Nothobranchius furzeri: one gene and its partners. The protein of the gene in region 2 binds, or shares a complex with, the protein of the main gene of each other region. Links are inferred from orthologs where the notes say so. Each region holds a gene or a part of one and is shown on either strand. Other genes may lie near its edges.

Region 1 (7,032 bases), on a different chromosome or scaffold from region 2:
TTTGTTTGTTTGTAATATCTCTACATCAAACCTTTTCACACTTTTGGGAATCTGACTGAGCCTTTTCTCTGTTAAATATGTTTGTTTTACTTATTCCAGTGTTTAGGGTTTTACACTGTTTTCACCATGCTTACAGTTTTTCATTAGTTTGACCTCTTTTCATTTCTTTTTTAGTTTAGTTCCCCAATTCCTTTCCTAGTCATTTTTTTATTTATTTCCAGCTTCCTTTGCACATCTGATCCTAACTGACTTCTTTCAGTAATCATGCATCCATATGTAAATCACTCAGGTTGTTTCTGGGAGTGATGCTACATCAAAAATACTTTTGTAAATATTCATTGCATTTCACTGACATTGTGCAAACACACCAACTTTCATTTTGTCTTTAAAGTGGACCCAAAAAATAAAAAACTGTGGCTTTTGAGGTGGCTACTGTGTTCTCTACAAGAACCTTGTCGTCCCCAAACTTTCCTTCTGCAATCATCTTACTAGGTCAGTCTTCTCGAACTATTAGCTGAAGGTAGAGAGCTGACTTCAGTGAAAACAGATTTTACGATAAGAAGACAGAAAACAAAGTCATGGGATTACATTTATCAGAACAGATAAAGCAACGATGAACTGAGTTGTGTTAATAAAGTTAAAGAGATGGTAACATGGGTGCACTTCCTGTGAGACGAGTAAGTTGTTTGTCCTCACGGACCTAACCACAAGACTTCCACTTGGCCACCCTTCCTTTGCAAAACCTGATTACAGCGATGCATGTTTATGCTGGAATCTTCTGAATCTCTGAGTTGTGCCTTTAAAAAATGAATTATACAGATATCTAATTGAAGACAACTTCTATTTTTGTATTACTGTCAGTGACGCACGGTCTTGTGAGTCTCTCTTCTGCATTTTGGCTCACAACAGTGTTTTACAAAAACAGTTTGCATGTCTTTTTTCTTCGCTTCTCTACCGCAAGCTGTCAGTAACAAGCGGAAAACCTTTGCAGCCTTAGCTCTTTTTAAACACAATCGGTTATTAAAAGGCCCCCGTGGCTCAAATTTGAGACACTGGAATGTATACAGTATAAATGCATTTTGATGTCTAATTATTAGGGAAAGCAAAATGACAATGAATGCTGATAGACTAAACAGCTGGAATTCAAATAAAAAGTTTTACTGATATTTTGGGGTGTCATTAATGCCATGAAGTTCATTATTTTGTTTTTACAACGTGATTATTTTTTTTACTGTTTTGCTGAAACATTTTCTGACATAGTATCCCTAATATGTCAGAAAATCTGATTTAAGTTTCAAGCCACAATAATAAATAATCCCACTTTAGGAAATCAGGGAGTTGAAACATTTTTTTCATCGCAACGTTTCAGCAAATATCTTAAATAATCATTGTAAAGCAAGAAAAGATTAAATCAGGTCTTACCCATTTTAGAATCTGTCATTTATATCCCAAAACAAATGAAAAAACAAATAAATGACAGAAAACTCCCTTGGCAACACAGTTGAGCATTAGGCTGCTTCAGCCTCCAGCGCAACAACTGAATGAAATATTTAATTACTTGAAGCCCCACCTCTTCCTCTTCCACGACAGGTTCACATGAGCACAAAGACAGACAATATGACCATCCTTCAGTACAAAAACATCTGGTTTAAGTACGCCGTGCAGCCCTGCACGTGGTCCTGAATAAATGATTCACTCAGAGCTCTAATACTGGGACTTTGATGTAAAGGTAATAAAGTGGGTTTTAATCTGGCATCATTTAGTTATTATAGTAAGAAATTTCTATTGTGTAAAAAATTAATCAGATTTTTCTTTGTTTTGAATATTTTTATATTTTTGTTTATCTAGAAATAAAACATTATTAGGAAACATTAGAAGGAAACCAGTAGATTACATTATGACCCAAAAACTGAAAATGAATGCCACCTGTGTTTTACAGGCCATTTTACCTTTCCCAGTCTAGGCTTTATCGTGGTGCCAAGGCGCCACCTGATGGCCACACCATGGTGTTACCTTCACCTCTGGTTTGTGACTACAGATGGTGGCTTTGAGTCTTTGTTTTGCTAACACCAAGTGTCACTCTAAAAATAACAAACCTTTGCGTAAATATAAAAATAAAGTGTAAATGCAATCATGTTTTGCCTGTGTGTGTGTGTGTGTGTGTGTGTGTGTGTGTGTGTGTTTTATGGTAAGCGACTCCGGTGATATTTTTTTAGTTTATTGTCGGCATCCATAGAAGCGCAAACGAAGTAGTAAGTTTCAGATAAAGCTGTTTTTATCACTTCAACTCCTTCCTCATTTTGCTCCGTGCAAAATTAAATCCATTTCAGCTTAAAGTATTGTTTAATTAATTCCCATAACTGAAATAGTGAATGGTCTATTTTAGGAGGAAAACTACACAAACAAAGGAGTAGAGGAAGGCAGGGTGAGTTATAAAACAACAGGTGGGGAGGCTGTCAAAAAAGAGGTAGCTCAGAGAGCGGAGAGGGAGGGAGGTGTGCAACAGTTTCCTGTAGTTGCATGCTCAGCTCTGAAACTTCCTCTGTCAGAGAGAAGAGGCGACGCTGAGCAGAACAGGATGCAGGCTATCAAGTGTGTGGTCGTAGGAGATGGGTACGGCTACATTTTACTTCACTTTATTTGTCCTAACTTAAACCGTGTTTACAGGTACGGAATTGGTCCCGATCATTCATGATGGACATGTTTGGACCTGAGTTCAGAATGTAGGAACTGGAGGACAAAATTGTCAAATCAAATAAGAGTTGCATCTACTTCCGCAGTGTCTGGATTCGTTGGGGGTAATTTTCTTGTAGAACATGTTGGTCCCAAGGTGTTTGTTTGACAGCACCGATCAGAGAAGTGGATGAGCTGTGCAGGTCACAACATGTAGAAAATGCTTCTGAGCAGCAAACCTTTAGCACAGGCCCCCTTTCTTCTGAGGAGGAGCTGAGAAATGTCAAGAAACAGCTGATTAAGGGGAACACCAGACAGAAATAATCAAAAATACTGAAATGTGAACTTATTTGGCTGAAACGGTGTAGGAAAGTTTGAATTGTGTCAGTATCCACTTTATTAACATGTCTCCATATTTAAAGCACAAATAAGTAACAGTAAAGAGACCATTTGTCATAAAAAGCCACATTAGTTTTGTGTCTAAGAGATCAATAACAGTTAGAGCGATGGAAGAGCCTCTCAGGTGCTGAAGCTGCTCTTCCTTGTGTGCTGAGCTTCCTGTTGTGTCTGATTTAGAAATGTAAAGCGAAGAAGAAAAGGAAGTTAGTGTGAACACGTGAACTTGTGTGCGTGACAGAAGCTTGGTGTATCTTTAGGTATTTTTTAATAAATGTGTACACATGGTCTCGTTCCCTCAAGGCAACAGGAATCAGAACCGCAGGGTTAGGTGGGGGGTCGCAGAAAATGATAATGAAGAGGAATTTGTGTGGGATGATTATTGGGTTTTTGATCAAAACAAACACATTTTGAAAACATTTTTTTCCGACAAAGGTCATGAAGTAACTTGTTAGAATTAATTCTCGTAATTAATTAAGACAATCTGTCAGTGGAAACTGGTGATATGAGTCATTTCTGCAGCACGCTGACTAAAATCCAAGCATCTCCTGTAGCAGAGTTTTGTTTTCTTTTCTTTTGTCTGAGTTTGTAACTCCACCATTTCAGTTTGAGCCTTTGTGGTGGAAACCCTTTAAAATAATCCTAACAGCTGGGATGATGGAGGAACACGTGTTTGCTGGTCTGACAAGAGGAAGCTTGTGTTAGGTTGGAGGGAAGTGTGTGAGTCTGTAGGTAGCCTTTGTGTGTAACTTTTTAAAATGTATTTACAGTTATATGTTCACTTGCAAAACTTTGAATTTTAACTATAAAATCAGAAGTTCATAAGTTGGCAGCTTGATTAAAAAAATAATAGATCACATGTTCTGGTTAAAAACATTGTAAAAACTTTAATCCAGAGATTTATAGTCACACCTAACATTCATGACTCACCCAGCTTAACTCGCAACGGGGAAGGCTGTTGTTGGTTTGGCGTGCAGGAAACAGCAGTAAACGTCTCAGCTAGGAGAAGCTATCTGTTAGCATTCGCAAGTCCACCACATGGCAGAACTCCTTCAGGTGTTATTTGTGAATAAAACATCAACGTTGCACAACAGAAGCAGTGGTAGGGTTGCGTTGCTGTTATCCAATCAGAGGTGAGATGTCCAAATATCAGGATATAAGACTCCAAATCCTGCTGAAGCTCAGCTGTGATGTGGCAATCTTGTAGTTCCTGCACGAAACAGGCGCGCCAGAGCTTTGTTTCCCCAGAGTACGATTCACAAGGCATTCATTACTACTAGAGGCCACTGCAAATGTATTAAAACTGAGCGAAGGACCTCGTTAAGTCAGAAACAGTGATAACACCACTGGAACTTAACTGCAACAGAGGTATTATTTTAAATTTCTTAGACTAAATGGGTTTTTCCATTAGTTTAAGAACCAATGTCCACCTAATCACCACAGATACTTAAAGTAAACATGAGGCAATGTAAATGACGAATTGTAAAAAGAAAGATACAACTTTACAAAGGGTTTCCCTTATGAGTGGCTAATAAATAGTTTATAAATATGTTATTAAGGACGAGAAAGAGAACACTATTTTGGCTCACCATTTTGACAGAAGCTGGTCACTTTTTTCTCTTTTCCCCCTTTTAAAGTATAATAAACACTGACCATAATTTATTGTGTTACAGATTTATTAATAATTTAAAATTTTTATTTATTAGCCATTTATAATTAGAGCCACAATGTAAAGCAGTAAAAAAATAATTAGTTTGATAAGAACGGAATTTTGTTCTGAGTGAGAAATTATGACACACCAAGTCTTACTGGTGGTATTGTGTTCAGATGTCGTCATGTATTCCTGTGATGTAATCAGTTGTGCAAAATTAGATACCGGTAATACACGTGACCTGGAAGACCATTTCAACTAAACTATTAAAGCTCAATTTTAACTATTAAATCTGATTTTTTTAATAATCTCAGTAACTGTGAGAAACAAATGAATAAACTCCACACAAATATAAAAAACATTACTTTGATTATTTCTTTGTAGACCATGTTACAAGTGCTGCCAAATCTCAAACTGTGAACATATTTATTTTAAAAATATGCTGCAAAAAATTAACCTAGCAGTGTTAATGGTCACTGCTCAGGCTACAGCTAAACATGTGCATAACAAACATCTTAAAGGGAACATATTATGCAAAAATCATCTTTTCCATCCTTTAATGCTGTGACATGTGTCCCTATTGCTTGTATAAATGCTCCAAACATTAAAAAACATCCATCCATCTCTCAGTTTGGTTTAGAAATTATGCCCCTTAAAACATGCTGTTCCAAAAAGTCCATGAATCTTACGTTTTTTTGTTTGTTTGTTTGTTTTTACATGGAAACACTCCTCACCTCTTCAAGTTAGATGATTAGCATCTTTCCTGCCCTTGTCAGATATCGGAGCTTCTCAGCTTATAGCAACCAGAGTGGGAGATGGGTAGGCATGGGTGGGCGTGGCCAGCTCTAGCTTGTTTTCTTAAAGAGACAGTGTGTAGTTGTTACCATTACAGTTTTTATCAATTGCTAAAACTCTAAAATCCATTGACTGAAGAAAGTTCTCAGTTGCTTGAACTCATTAAGCTAACCGTTGAGCCTGTTGTCAAAACCTTAAACAATTTCACACGGTTTAGCAAAACTCTAAACACATTCTCATTCTTAAAACCCATTCTGCACTCTAATGTACACGTCGTCCATAATGGTAAACACAAGTGGCACACACTTACCCATAACAAGAGCACAAATGTCATTGATTGAACACAATCAGTCAAATTAGATTTCACTTGTTTCAAATGACGTGACGACCAATATAAGCAAGTTCAGAGAGCAAACAGGTTGTTGAAGGTGGGAATGAGAAAGTGTGACAATGGATAGAAGAATTCATGTGAGAGGACAAGGACGAGTGTGTATGCGAGGTGGGGGATGAGGAGGAGGGCAAGAAAGAGAAAGAGGAGGATGAAGAGGAAGAGCGAGACAAAGAGTGGAAATGTCCAATGAAATTTGAGCAACAATCATAGACCGTGTTGTTGTCCATGGGCTGACAATGAGGGAAGCAGGACTTGGAGTGCAACCCAATTTGAGCCTCAGGAGGGAAAATATTGCATGTGATGTCGATGAAGAGCTGTGGCCTGACCCAGCCCACAGACAAGAAGAGGCCCATTGATAACATGTTTAGTCCTTTGATGTTTTTCATTTTATGTATTTTTTTTCACTGTCATTGAACACTGTAGCACAATAGGCTCTATATGGTACAATAAACAAATCTTATGGCCCTGAACATTGTGCTTTCTATTTTTTGGTGTATTGTTTACTGACTGCTTGATGGTGTATGTCATTTTGAGTAATTTGTTTATGATTTGAGAGTAGTGTTTGATTTTGAGCACAGCTAAAACTGTTTTGAGGCAAAAGTTTGATTTTGCAAGAGGAATGAGAGGTTTTGTAAATCGTGCTTGAAGCTGAGGTTTTGTGTTTAATGTTTTGAGAAAAGAGAGCAAGGTTTCAGGAATTGTGCTTTAGCAATTGAGAAAAACTGTAATCTCTGGAAATATCCATCAAAATGTTGTTGAAAAATGTTGGTGGCTTTGTAATATATAACCATAAAAATCGGGTCTAAAGTAGATTGGAGCGGGTCAAAGTCTCTGAGCGATGCTTGAATAGTTGCTATGTTTCCTTATACATGAGCCCATGATGACTAAATGCATTTACTGATTTGTAACAAGCAGTTTCTAAACGTTGTTTCACACATTTACCTCTTCGCTTGTTGCCAGTGATGAAAGACAGTCTGATGTGCTTGTTATTTGGCTGGAGGTTAAACAATCTGATGAAGTATTCAATTCGAAAATTGCACTGCCAAGGATTTTTGACCCAAATGGGCTTCCGTTGGTAAGGTCTTTCTCGAATACAAAAATGATTTAGGCATGTACTGCCCCCATC
Region 2 (7,018 bases):
TTTTGTAATTAGTGGGTATTCTTCTTTGTTTTTTATATTACCAATAAAATGGGAAAACTCTCGTGCACAAATGTGAAATATTCCACATTTTTCTATTCTATACTTTATTTTGCTATTTTAGACAGACAGAGAAACACAAATACCTTTTAATAAACAGATTATATATATATATATATATATATATATATATATATATATATATATATATATATATAGTGTGCATGTTCATATATGAATATGAATATGCACACCACCATGATGAAAACTATAATGCTTGTTCAGTACATGCATTTTAAGGTAACTATGGTCAAATATTGAAGACAATCAAATTATAAACTAAAAATGTAAACATAACACATAAACAAAGACCATGTAAATAAAAGAAGTGATGCCAAATCATCAAAACAACATATGCCAATTACAAAACAGGCAAAACCATAAGGACATGCTTTCAGTTAAAGACCAAAACTGTGTTTGGAACATGTAGTATAGATATGTTTGCCTACAAACATTCTGATAAAATAGCTTTTAAAACATGCATACGTTTGAATGACTGATATAAGAAATAAGTCATATTGTCTTGTGTTTGTGGACAGATTTATTCTGAATGAAATCTACTTTATAAACTACTTTGTTCCACCAAACTTTTACTTTAACAGTCTTACACAACACTTCCTGCTCACCAACTGTCATCAAAATATTGTATGTGACTAGTTCCTTGTGCTTAGAATAACAGTTGGGGAAAACACAGGAAAATGAACTCAGACTGTATAAAATGTTATACGTGTTGCAAACTACTTACAATTCTTGTATTTTAGTGCTAGGTCTCATACCACCCCAGGTTGATTAAGGAAGCACCTGTTATTTCCCAACAGGCTGTAATTGCTTGACTAATCAGCTGTGACTACAAAACCCAGAAACAAATAACTTTAAGACTCAAGAAATGGAGATTGAGCTGCTGAACCTGTTTGACTTGAAGACATATAAATACATACATTTTTTCCCTCAAAGGAAACTTATGAAAACAAAGCCAAGGAGAAGAAAACAGGCCCGAGAGGAGAAAGGGAAATTCTGAGTTACTGAAATACTGTTTTTGCCAAAGGGGGAAGTTGCAAATGTCGCTTCTTTAACAATTTCAAAAAGGGGAAAATAATATCACTAACCTCCAGAAGATGATTCAAAGAAAGCAGATGATTTATTTACAATGCAACTATGATTACTACAACCCTAGCTAGCAACACGTATTTTTAAATGTTAGTAGCAGCTGGATGCAGCCAAAAATAAATGTATGCATTTATTCTGATACAACTGAACAGTGATTCAGTGTTTTCAAGGGAAGCGCAAACATACAGATCAAGTACATGTTAAGTTGTAAGATGCATGAATGATCTTAAAAACTTACTTGACTGGGAAAAATACAGAAACAGAGTTTAACATTCACATTTACCATAATGTCAAAATACAAAGAAAACTCAGAATTTGTTCATTTTACCTTTTGACATTTTGCGTAATGGAATTTTTTCTTCCACAAAAGAGAGAAAAAATAACTTTTTTTTCTGAAAAAAATGTAACATTTTGCTCATTAACTGGCTCCGTTCAAAAGACTTCAGAAAAACTGTTCATGTATGGCCACTGAATCTGGTGGGACCGGTTTGTTGGACATAAATGATGGAGCTGCTGAGCGGCTCGCTAATCGTCAGTAACAGAGGAAGGGTTGTCGTATGCTGCTCCCTCCAGGTCCTTGGCTTGTTTCCTGCGAGTTTCTGGTGGAGGTCTTGGCGGTGGATTCTGGGGAGGATTCTTGATACTTTCAGCAACTGGCTTTCGCACATCCTTACGAGGAAGAATGGGCTCCCAGTGCTCACCTCGGATCGCTGCCTGGAAGACAAGAAAGTGTCTGTAATGGGTGGATGTTATCCATCCTGTTTAATGAGCCCCTTGTATGCAAAGTTGTTTAATGCTCACATTTGTGTGCCAATGTGAGATAAACAAAGCCAGATATGTTATTTTTCTTTAAAGTAGATGATGAGGAATTCAGGCACACCCCTGACTGGTAGCGTTTCAAAACTACAGGGACATGTCTCAACTGAGGAACAAGTGCGACACATTCTCTTCCTCGTTCACCACTTCCTTTCTCGATGCTTATCAAAGTTCACGGTAATTAAAAAGCTTAACGGGAAAAATAAATCCTCGTCAAGCCTCCAACTTACTGCAAGGTAGATGAGGCTGGCGATGCCGAGGCAGACACACCCGAGCACAGTTGCTAGCATAAACCCTCCAGGTACACAGATTCTTAAAAATACAATGGAGATGATGGAGTGTAAGTCAAACAGCCATGATGTTCTAAGGGTTTTGTTCAAGAGACTGGCGAGGAATGTTGTCTAGCCAAAGGAAGATGGTTAAGATAACAAAGTCAATCAAGCAAATTGTTTAGGCTGAGTTCACACTTACGCAGCGTGCAGGAACGCTCTAACATAGTAGTTCCTCGTTAGTGGTCCGAAGGCTTTGACACACACTGTGAAGCAGTATTGGCCCCTGATAGAACACAATAATCGTAATAATGTGCAGTAAAGACAGAACTTCACAAACACATATTTGCAGAAAAAAAACAACAACATTGCTTACGATCTTTCCACACTTGTCCCTTTGGCCCGCTTGCTTCTGGGATACTCAAGAAGACACACAAACACTCCGGCGGCACTTGTTACTGGTTAAGGATGCTACTTCCACCATTTTACAGATTTTAGCAAAAAATGCCAAATGGGCCATCAGTGTGATTAAAAAACCATTCAAATGATCACGATCAGCCTTTCTTATAAATGAACCTTTAATCACTCTGTTTTTTTATTCAGTAAGAAGTTAAAATCACATGAAAGAAGTTTATGCAGAATTTTGGTAGAAATGAGTTTCATGAGTGAATAATAAGTTTTAACAGGACGTCTAAAAATGAGATTAAGTGAATGTTTCCATCAACGAAAAAAACTTAGTTTTGGACAGTCTAAATTGAACAATAGCCCTTAACTGGTGTGGTGTAATCTGAAAAAGTTTCTATGAAAGGTTCTAAGAAAAGAAAAAAAGTACAGTGTTCTTATATGCCGTAAACGTTCTTGTAAGTTTGATGTTTCAGCGAAAGGAGGATGTGGTGTAATCTGTTTGAGTGTAACTGGGTTTTATGGTGAAGGGGGAGAGAGGGGAAGTGATTCAATAAAAGTCGGAGTTTGGGTGCTCGACAAGGTGTCACTGGAATCCTTGATAAAAACACGACAACTGGGATAAAGAAGTACTCTTGCATTTATCATAAGGAAACACCAGCTGTAGAAACAAGAGTTGTACAAAAATCTAATTTTTTAAATATTTGTAACCACGACAGCAACAATATACAGGAAAGTGTTTAATAAATTAAAAATAAATGAATATTTTATACATATTTGCCCATCGTGTTAAGTGTTAGCTGCTGTTTCGTGTCATTTTAGACCTAATTGTGCACTCAGCTATTGGTTAAACTATTATAACTATGATACTACACTAATAAATATAATTTGATTTACCCCACCAAAGCAGCTTTTGCTAATCAAATCTATTAAGCCTGATAGGTAATTACACAGCTTTAACTTCCCAATAGCAGCAGAATAAATGAAATAAAAACAGTGCTATTTAAAGACTCGCCTGAACAGGTTTGGTTTATTTCATTATAAAGGATACACCGCATAAGCAGCAAACTCCCAGCCTCTGAACTGCCCTGCAACCCCCACTATTCCTCCAGCAAGAAGAACTGAAAGAAGGAAACAGGAAGGTGAAAATCTAACAATATACCTTTTGTCACTCCATGCAATGAGACAAGCCCATGTGCAACTGGACAACGATTTACAACAAATCGTTTTACAGGAAAGCAAAGATTTATTTTGTAAATTAAAAAACTGCTGTTTTAAATAAATTATTAAAATAAAAGAAAACGTGAAAATAAACTTTTTTCTTCTTCTTCACTTCAGACGAAGTTATTAAAATACTCACTGAGTCCCGAAGCCAGAGCCTGCTCATTGGCCCACATGGCCCACTCTATCTTCCCCATCGTGTCCACCTGCGAGCAGAGCTGTTATCTCTACAAGGACGAAATGTGTTTACGTGAGGAGCTGAACAGATGCTGGGAGGAGGCTGGCCTCTCGTTTCAGTCGTCATTTCCGATAAATAGTACAGGAGTGTCGAGAGGAGGGGTTAATTTTATCCAACTTCCCGGACAGGTGCGACGAAAGGCCGAAAAAAAAATACGGACGTACTTGAACGCAGCACATTGCACTCTGTCAGTGTGGGTTTTGTTCTTTTAAACAAATACATTGTATCGTTTTTGTTTTCAATGATTTTACTTTTAGCGTAGTATTTTTACCTGTTGTTAAATTTGTCATTCCCATCGTTTTCTACACCTGTTTTTTTCCACAGTAGGATCTCCAGGGGGAAGGAGGTGGGGGAGACACCCTGGACAGGTCACCAGCGATGGTTTTTCAGCCATCACTGGGACACACAGAACCAGCCACACAATGATCCACATCTAGGAACAATTAATGGCTGTCAATTAAACTGACATGCACTCCACACAGAAAGGCTTCAACTGGGATTCGAACCTGTGACCTACTTGCAGAAATGTACCAGTGTTGTCACCCTCATACCGCCCCACCTCCTTGAACAATACTCAAATAAAAAAAAGCAGTGTTGCAAACACATTACAGTAGCAACAGCAATAAAAAATAAGACAACCTGATAACATTCAGACTAAAATACATTTTACTGACGTTTCATTAACAAACCTGATGCAACAAAGATTGCACTTTGGACAGGCTCGGTCCAAGGCATATGCAAACTATGATACAAACTAAGCGACTTCTTTGGTCCCCCACATCACCAGGGGGCCCCCAAGAGCATCAAGATGACACAAGTAAAAATGTTTTAATAAATTTAAATACCAACTAAATAATATTCCACATGAAAAAATAATACACAATGTATCTGTATTATTTTCTGTTGTGTCATTTGGTTTTATTTTGTAGTGCAGCACTCTTTACAAATTTTAAGAACAAAAGATAGTAAACCTAAAATTTTTACTGTGAATTCAGTGTTTGTCTGCCGATGTTTCTATAGCTGAATTAATATACCACACTTAAATAACAATCTTCATTTAAAAAGGCTAATTAGAGCATTTTTGGTGGTTTTCTGCTCTGATAAACTTAAAATCAATATACACAATAACACAGGTTTGATGTAAGCCAGTTACAAAATATGCTAATAATAGTGGGCATGTTATAATGGTGCAGCTTGGGAATGATGAATCATCTAGTGTAGACTTGTTGGTGTGGAGGGTCCCCAAGAGAAACCAGTTTAGGGCCCCACAAAGGCTTGGGCCGGCCTGACTTTGATCTAAAAGACTGATTTGTTACATTTTTAGATTCAATAATAAGGTTCCATCACTGCTCGTGAACTTGTTTCCTCAGGAGTCTCACAAAGCTTTCTTAGGGAATCCATCAGGTGAGAGCAGGTGCTGAGAGGAATCCTCGATGATACAAGGACCTGGTCCAGCCTGAAAAGAATCACAAGATAAGATAAAGTCATTAGATCAGTCATTCTCTGTTGGTTACATATTGATTTCTGAGTATCTGTGAACCTTTGTACTGATGATGTAGTTTATCCCATTTGGTGTGGGCTCCAGACCAATGGCCTCTTTCAGCTCCTCAGAGATAGCAGCACCTTTGACTGGAAGACCTTTAATAAAGCTGAAGATAAACAGACGTGTGAAAGCTCTCTTCTACCACTTAACATTCAGCAGTTCCTTGGAAAGTTTGCCTTTTAGACTTTTATTGTGAATTTTCCCACATGGATCCAGCTATTTATCAAATTCCCTGATCAGATGACAAGAACTACCTGTTGTTCACCAGAAACGGTGCAAATAATCTTTGGTTTCACCCGACCAATAATAAATATATTATTCTCAGCAAAGCCCTGCAAAGTGAAAAATGTGCAGCTCCTTTCTGGCTCTTTAATAAAATGTTGAGTTAGGTCCTACCAGCTTGCGTGGGGTGAAGATATCTGATTGTTTAAGTTGTTAATTTTAACTAGAGGCCGGCCGATGTGTTCTTTTTAAGGCAGATACCGACACCGAGTTTTAAAGAATTTTGTTGCCAATGGCCAATATCTAAAGCCGATTATTAAGGCTGTTATTTACACGTTTTAGCAGCACATTGGTTGTGAAAGACAACTGAACTCTCACTGTGTGCAATATAAATGAAATAAGTCAATAAATTTAATATTTATTGAACTTCAAATATAAAACAAACTCAAAACATTAAAAAAACGGTGTTGGAGGTCTTTTAGGCCTTTTCTTCAGTCTTGTAATGGTAGCAGTTGGCCACATAGGTGTCTGATTTTTTTTAATCTGCTTTTTAAAATAACTTTGGCCGATGGCTGATACAGAAAAATTTGAATATATCAGCCGGCCTCTAATTTTAATCAAATGGGTCTAGTTTAATTCTAATTTGCACAGATATGTGTTTGAGCCACAGAAAAAAATCTGAGCATGATAAACATGGATCCTGGCCGCTTTCCTGGACAAAACTGGTCTTTCGGTATCGCTCAGTCTTACCTAAACAATCTCATCTTATTGGACTGAGGTCATGACTTTTTTCCTGGCATGAACAGTCTATAAAAACAGGCTCACATTCTTCGAATCATTGACCATATAATTCAATTTAGTAATATTCTTTAGTTCAAATGAGAAAAAACTTGAGCTGAATGCATTCTGAATCCACTCTTAACGATAGGTATGGCAAACTAATTAGTTTCATGGGGAAAAAATCTGAAAAAGAAGACTAACAAACAAGTTTCTGGATTTAGCGTACTCTTCTCCGTTCGTGTCTGGGGGGAAGAAATGTTGAACCACCCGGACAAACTCTGGAACGTGCTGCTGTAAGGTGAAGATCACCGCGTTGGGCCCGGCATCAAAACTGTAGGCCACCTATCAGAAAGAAAACAGAGT
Region 3 (7,259 bases), on a different chromosome or scaffold from region 2:
CATTTAAAATTAATATTTAGTCCAAACAAGCTGAGCAGAGTGCCCCTGTAACATATAAAACATGCAATTAAACAATTCACTTAAATTAGGAACATTTTACCTGCATTGGCCTGTACGTAAACATTAACAGGTCACCTCCAGCTTGTGCGTAATCAAATGTCTCTAGGGAGTTTGCTGAAGAGGTTATGAGGTTCTGGGCTTTTGTTTCAGACAGACTTGTGGATGTTTAAATGTTGTTATGGATGAATCTGCGGTCCGCTGACACGCTGGATTCAAGGCAATTGCTGGATAACAAGCACTATTTAAGCCAAAGTTTAAAAATCTAATTATTTAATGACACATAAACAGAAGTATACCAGACTCTCGGAAAGATAGAAGGGTTTCCACTCAACACTGCGCTATTGTGCACGATGTCGAGTGCGCCAGACGCTCTCTGAGCTCCCTTCAGCGCACTACTTGGGCACACTGTCAGCAGCAAGATAAGGAGAAAGTGTGAGATTATGCTCAGATGCACTGATAGAAATCTTGATTACCTCTGCGATGTTCTCTGTGCATAACATGTAAAATATCTGCGCACCTGCAGGAGTCAGTAACAAATTTACATGGCTGCTTATACTGAGCCAGGATCCTCTGGAGTTTATTCCTGTTAAAATGGAGTTTCCCTCTCCACTGTCGCTAAATGCTTGCTTAGTATGAGGATTGCTGTAAAGACTCTGACACTAGTCAGTGACTCGATGCAACCTGCTGGGTTCCTTATATAGGAAACTTTTTACTTATTGGCTGTGATTAGAATGACATTTGATAAAATAAAATAAAAAGATTTTCGGTTATCTTACAGATTTCTGAACATTATAATACAGCAACAAGGCAGTTTGGTAGAGTTTAAAATAAAGATATCTATTTAATAGACAACTAAATGTGACTGTGGCTGATACATCTGTTTAATTATTCATTTTGACAGTTTCAATGCTTCAGATAGTCTAGAGTGACATAAATGCAGTCTTGAGAAGCGGATCAGTGCTGACCATAAATCAAGATGTTTTGTTGTGATGTGAGGATGCATGAAAGCATTCAATAATAAAAAGTTGCTGTGGTACAATAATGTAGTCTGTCAAGCAGATGCAGCACTTTGGCTACAAAATGCTTGAGAATGTAAGCATCATTAAGACATACATATATATATATATATATATATATATATATATATATATATATATATATATATATATATATATATATATATATATATATATATATATATATATATATATATAAACACCAACTTAACAGTTTGTTGATGTTTAGCGCAAAGATGACTGCTTTAAATGCATAATAACAAAGTTACTAACCGCTGTCCAGTTTGACGATTTGGGGCATTTTATATGCACTGACAAGCTGATCCAAAGGTAAAGACGTTGAGCTCCAAGTAACATCTTTCAAATTATTGTACAACATTGTTCCAAGGTCCATCTTGTTAGCTCACATTAGCCAACTCTGGAGCTAGCTGTGTGTAAATACGGACACAAAAGGGTGCTCCGAGCTACCAACACAAATAATATAGCAACTTAATCTAAACAGTCATACCAAACATGACTTATTTCTTGTTAATCCTTACATAGCTCCAATTTTCATTTGTTCTACGCATCATAAAGGTTCGTACTCCGAAAGTGTAGTAGAGCCATGTTTGTTTAGCTAGCGATGAGCTAACGGATAAACGTTTTTACTCTATCAAAATAAGAGCATTTTATACATTCAAGTAAAGAAGATACGTTATTATTGAAAGGCGAAATCGTTGAATTCCTTGAGAATATATAAATACACATTTATAATATGATGTTAGTGTTGTAAGAAAACGCACCAGTATTTTGTGATTATAGTCATGTCACAAGAAATTTATTTTGAAAGGAAAAACCCGGAAGTTGTTTTTGTGCATTTGGCACAAAAACACATCATATATTTACTAAATAAATATTGCAGCTCAATAAATTTAGAATTATTAAAGAAGAACAAACAATAATCTGAACATTACTTATTTCAGTAAAAATGTCTGAATGTCATCAAAGTTAAGGTCGTTACAACACTGGAAATCAATTTGAGTTTTGGATTTAACATTGTCAAAGTGCCATGTTTGTTTGTAAATTTACAAAATAAAGTTAAAAAATAATTATTTAAAAAATACTAGAAATCAATTAGATGTGAAACATTTTTCATTATGCATCTCAAGCTTTTCTGCTTATAAAATGCCAACGTTAGTTTAGAGCTAAACACACACACACACACACACACACACACACACACACACACACACACACACACACACACACACACACATTTAAACCCACAATTTATTCAAAGATAGAAAATCTCTAGAATCTAAATCATAAAGCTTTTGTTAACTGTAGGCTAATATTGATGGAACTCAAATAGAGCATTTGACATACCAGATAAAAAATAAACACAAGACCATCTGAAAAAGTAGATATAAAAATATACATATTTCCTGGACACAATGTGCAAATTGTTTGGTACATCAGCAGTAAGTTAGAGTGCAATTATTGCACTGAACGGGAGAAAATAATTTAAATGTGGCTTTAGCACTTAGAGCTGATTGTGATGCATTTGTAAATCGTAACAGCTGTCATCACACTTCCCAGTTTCACTGGTACAAATAAGAAGAACTTCCTCAATGTAGAATCAGTGTGCTGGTAAGCCAACAAACATGTCTTATGTGGACACTCTGCGGCAGTGGGACAAAGCTGTAACTTGTGCCGACAGACAGGAATGGTCAGAAGCCCTCTGCATTTTCTTATCCATTCAAGAACCAAATTCCAAAATTTACTTTGACATTGGTTGCCTTCATCTTCTGAACCAAGACTTGGATGATGCTGAAAAGGTACGTTAGATCTACTTTATTTTAAATCAAATCTGCAAGTCTGTGCACGTAAGAAAGTAAAATCATCTGGATTTATTTGGCAAGGCTGAGATGAAACGTGTCAGATATAAGGAGCCCTCCGGTTGGCTCACGGGTCCCCTGAACAGATCAAACAGGATCAGAAAATATTCAATTTCAATTTTCTTGGCAGCTGAGGACCCATGGTCCGGAAGGACGTGACTTAGGCTCCCTATAGAGGTTTCTGAAAGTGCAAGTCACAGTGAAAGAAGAAGTGGTGTCACCGGCTTTCTGCTCCTTTAGAGGAAGTTATTTTCTTACCTGTTATTTCTCAGGCGTTTGACTGCAGCATTCGCAAGGATGAGCATTTGGCAGTTGCCTTCTTTCAGAGGGGAATGACATTTTACAAAAAGAAAAGGTAAATTACATCAAATGTTTTATAAAACTTGCCTTATGTGTAATAATTATTACCTTTACTTGTCTTGGTCACAGGTATGAGGAGAGTTCAGCTGATTTCCAGAGAGCCTTTAAAGCTCTGAGGGGTAACCAGCTGATCGATTACAAAGCACTAGGTCTCAGATACATCCTATATGCCTGTGAGGTGAGCTTTAGCTCTACTGTCCGTCAGAAATCTGAGGTTAAAATAAAGCTGGCTGATGATGGTAATTCCTCATTTTCAATGTGATTTATATATTCTTGCAAAGAGGAAACCGTTGAAGCCTCAGCTCTTCCTAATTCAGTTTTCAATATGAGGGCTTCAAATAAACCTGATAAGACGGTGTGACTGAAAAGCTCCTAACTCAGTGTCACGTCGACACCTCCTGCTTCAGGTTCTCCACAATCTTGCCCTGGCTGAAGCTAAGCTGGGTAGCTGGGAAAAGGCCCAGGAAAACCTGGTCAAGGCACTGGACTACAAGACAGATGCCAAGCTCAGCCTCATCGACAGGGCTCTGCAGTCAACCCTGGTCAGTTACGATCATCCTCTCATAAAATACGGTTACACTTCATTAATATAATTCAATTACACACATCCACATATGTTTAGAAATCAACATTTTATCAGCATAGGTGTTGGCTATTTGGGTTTTGGAAGGAAGAAGATACAGTGGGGCAAAAAAGTATTTAGTCAGCCACCGATTGTGCAAGTTCTCCCACTTAAAATGATGACAGAGGTCAGTAATTTTCATCATAGGTACACTTCACCTGTGAGAGACAGAATGTGAAAAAAAATCCATGAATTCTCATGGCAGGATTTTAAAATAATTTATTTGTAAATCAGGGTGGAAAATAAATATTTGGTCAATAACAAAAATTCAACTCAATACTTTGTAACATAACCTTTGTTGGCAATAACAGAGGTCAAACGATTACTATAGGTCTTTACCAGGTTTGCACACACAGTAGCTGGTATTTTGGCCCATTCCTCCATGCAGATCTTCTCGAGAGCAGTGATGTTTTGGGGCTGTCGCCGAGCAACACGGACTTTCAACTCCCTCCACAGATTTTCTATGGGGTTGAGGTCTGGAGACTGGCTAGGCCACTCCAGGACTTTCAAATGCTTCTTACGGAGCCACTCCTTTGTTGCCCGGGCGGTGTGTTTGGGATCATTGTCGTGTTGGAAGACCCAGCCACGTTTCATCTTCAAAGCTCTCACTGATGGAAGGAGGTTTTGTCTCAGAATCTCACGATACATGGCCCCATTCATTCTGTCCTTAACACGGATCAGTCGTCCTGTCCCCTTAGCAGAAAAACAGCCCCAAAGCATGATGTTCCCACCCCCATGCTTCACAGTAGGAATGGTGTTCTTGGGATGCAACTCAGTATTCTTCTTCCTCCAAACACGGCGAGTTGAGTTTATACCAAAAAGTTCTACTTTGGTTTCATCTGACCACATGACATTCTCCCAATCCTCTGCTGTATCATCCATGTGCTCTCTGGTAAACTTCAGACGTGCCTGGACATGCAATGGCTTCAGCAGCGGAACACGTCTGGCACTGCAGGATTTGATTCCCTGCCGTTGTAGTGTGTTACTGATGGTGACCTTTGTTACTGTGGTCCCAGCTCTCTGCAGGTCATTCACCAGGTCCCCCCCCCCCCCCCCCCCCCCGTGTGGTTCTGGGATTCTTGCTCACCGTTCTCATGATCATTTTGACCCCACGGGATGAGATCTTGCGTGGAGCCCCAGATCGAGGGAGATTATCAGTGGTCTTGTATGTCTTCCGTTTTCTGATAATTGCTCCCACAGTTGATTTTTTCACACCAAGCTGCTTGCCTATTGTAGATTCACTCTTCCCAGTCTGGTGCAGGTCTACGATTCTTTTCCTTGTGTCCTTCGAAAGCTCTTTGGTATTGGCCATAGTGGAGTTTGGAGTCTGACTATTTGAGGCTGTGGACAGGTGTCTTTTATACAGATAATGAGTTCAAACAGGTGCCATTAATACAGGTAACGAGTGGAGGACAGAAAAGCTTCTTAAAGAAGACGTTACAGGTCTGTGAGAGCCAGAGATTTTCCTTGTTTGAAGCGACCAAATGCTTATTTTCCACCCTGATTTACAAATAAATTCTTTAAAAATCCTGCCATGTGAATTCATAGATTTTTTTTTCACATTCTGTCTCTCACAGTTGAAGTGTACCTATGATGAAAATTACTGACCTCTGTCATCATTTTAAGTGGGAGAACTTGCACAATCGGTGGCTGACTAAATACTTTTTTGCCCCACTGTAAGTGAATCTTCTAAAATCCCAAAATCTTTCAAATTAATTTAAGTAATACTTTTCAATATGTGTTTTTTTTTTCTGACAGAAACAAAAGCTTTTCAAACCGGTGGAATTCCCTTTGAAAATGCTGTTTAGACCAAACAAGCACTATGTGGCTGAGCTGGAGAAAAAGGACTACCTGGGCAAAGCTAAGGTATGCATATAACAACCAGACCAACAATCACAGATTTTAACATAATCCATTTTAATTGTGGATTATTCAGATTTACAGATATATATTATTGATGAAGAACGGCATAAAACTCCATTTAAAATGTATTTTTCGAAACATTAGGTTGTTTCCTCTGTGGTTCCACAAGATGAGTTCTCTGGGTTTGCCCCGCTACAACCGCAGGTGAGGAATCAAATCAAACTGAGACCAATAAAGTCCTCAGAAGATAAATAAATGTTTCATTAGCCTCTAATATACCAGGGCAGATCAAATCCACTCATGACGAGGGGAAGTCTGAGCAGCGTCATATGTACATTAGTTCTTTACGATGTGAAATATAAAGCCTTTTTGCAATGGTGGTTAAAAGTGAAAGTCCTGTATTTTGTTAGGTCGAAGATGGTCCAACTTCTCCAAAAGAACCAGAAGTTTTGAGGTCAGTTTGAACATGTATTAGATTTTCTTTTGCTGTGATCTGAAAGTGAACATGTCCCAAATAGATAAACCAAACAGCAGATAAAATATAATCATCATATTCTAATTGTTCTGTTTCTCACGAGGACATGTGGACATCTCGTCTCCACAGAGCTCTACAAGGAGAACCACACACCGTGCTGTTTGAGTTTGACCCTGAGACCAGTGATGAGTTGGCTGTTGTGCCAGGAAACATTGTGTTTGTGCTGCAGAAGGGTGACGACAACTGGGCCTACGTGGTCTTCAATGAAAGAGTAGGACTAAAATCAGGGATGGGCTGAATTAGTAATTTATGTTTTTAAGTTCTATTGATTATTATCCAGTATGATGTCGATTACAGAGAGGACTTGTTCCTTACAATTACCTAGAGCGTTTGGAAATTTCCTTGGCTTCAAATCAACACAAGGTAGGGCTGCTGTATCAGTGACTTCCTGTTCGGCATCATTTTCTCTGGACATAGTCCAGAAAAACTCGTTGTTCTTTAAAATTTACTTAGGCTACGTTGAACAGTATGGAAACTTGACTTCTTTAATGTTTTTTTTTTCCTTTTCCCATATTTTGATTGGGAACAATTATCAGGGTTTAGCCAGACCTCTGAGTCAAGAACCACCAACCAGACCTGAGAGGAAAGGTAGATCTCACAACTACACATTTGTATTAATGCTGCCATTAATTTGTGTAGCCCAAGCTGAAACAGTCCCCTAACCATACACGACCCCTGGTTTGGGTATACACTATAAAACCTGCTTTTATTCCCATATTTTTCACAAGACTGATCCATTTATCACAAGGTGATAAGAAGTGAAATATTTTTGTTGGGTAATAAAATGTGATTTACTTTTATCTCATGCAATACATACAGTGGGTATGGAAAGTATTCAGACCCTCATCATTTTTTCACTGTTATATTGCAGCCATTTGCTTTTTTTCCCCTCATTAATGTACACATGGCATCCCATATTGACAGAA

What was found. The genes of interacting proteins can lie anywhere in the genome.
Region 1: cyba (region 2) and rac2 share a complex: the UniProt entries of both Homo sapiens proteins name them as parts of the phagocyte NADPH oxidase complex. The link is inferred for Nothobranchius furzeri from reciprocal best matches to the Homo sapiens genes CYBA and RAC2.
Region 3: cyba (region 2) and ncf2 share a complex: the UniProt entries of both Homo sapiens proteins name them as parts of the phagocyte NADPH oxidase complex. The link is inferred for Nothobranchius furzeri from reciprocal best matches to the Homo sapiens genes CYBA and NCF2.

Annotation. Positions count from the first base shown.
Region 1 is NC_091744.1:130,626-137,657, reverse strand, and holds the start of rac2 (ras-related C3 botulinum toxin substrate 2), read left to right. Parts: upstream 1-2,470; 5' UTR 2,471-2,578; coding exon 2,579-2,613; intron 2,614-7,032. UniProt on the Homo sapiens protein: Plasma membrane-associated small GTPase which cycles between an active GTP-bound and inactive GDP-bound state.
Region 2 is NC_091749.1:57,595,572-57,602,589, forward strand, and holds cyba (cytochrome b-245 light chain), read right to left. Parts: upstream 4,167-7,018; 5' UTR 4,070-4,166; coding exon 4,012-4,069; intron 3,773-4,011; coding exon 3,703-3,772; intron 2,701-3,702; coding exon 2,626-2,700; intron 2,536-2,625; coding exon 2,452-2,535; intron 2,293-2,451; coding exon 2,211-2,292; intron 1,879-2,210; coding exon 1,690-1,878; 3' UTR 1,172-1,689; downstream 1-1,171. Other genes in the region: mvda (diphosphomevalonate decarboxylase), read right to left, coding at 5,486-5,566, 5,651-5,759, 6,882-6,997. UniProt on the Homo sapiens protein: Subunit of NADPH oxidase complexes that is required for the NADPH oxidase activity that generates, in various cell types, superoxide from molecular oxygen utilizing NADPH as an electron donor.
Region 3 is NC_091747.1:36,774,051-36,781,309, reverse strand, and holds the start of ncf2 (neutrophil cytosol factor 2), read left to right. Parts: upstream 1-2,697; 5' UTR 2,698-2,719; coding exon 2,720-2,893; intron 2,894-3,225; coding exon 3,226-3,308; intron 3,309-3,382; coding exon 3,383-3,491; intron 3,492-3,720; coding exon 3,721-3,855; intron 3,856-5,693; coding exon 5,694-5,801; intron 5,802-5,942; coding exon 5,943-6,002; intron 6,003-6,208; coding exon 6,209-6,252; intron 6,253-6,402; coding exon 6,403-6,544; intron 6,545-6,630; coding exon 6,631-6,696; intron 6,697-6,851; coding exon 6,852-6,921; intron 6,922-7,259. Other genes in the region: garem (GRB2-associated and regulator of MAPK protein 1), read right to left, coding at 1,350-1,470. UniProt on the Homo sapiens protein: Subunit of the phagocyte NADPH oxidase complex that mediates the transfer of electrons from cytosolic NADPH to O2 to produce the superoxide anion (O2(-)).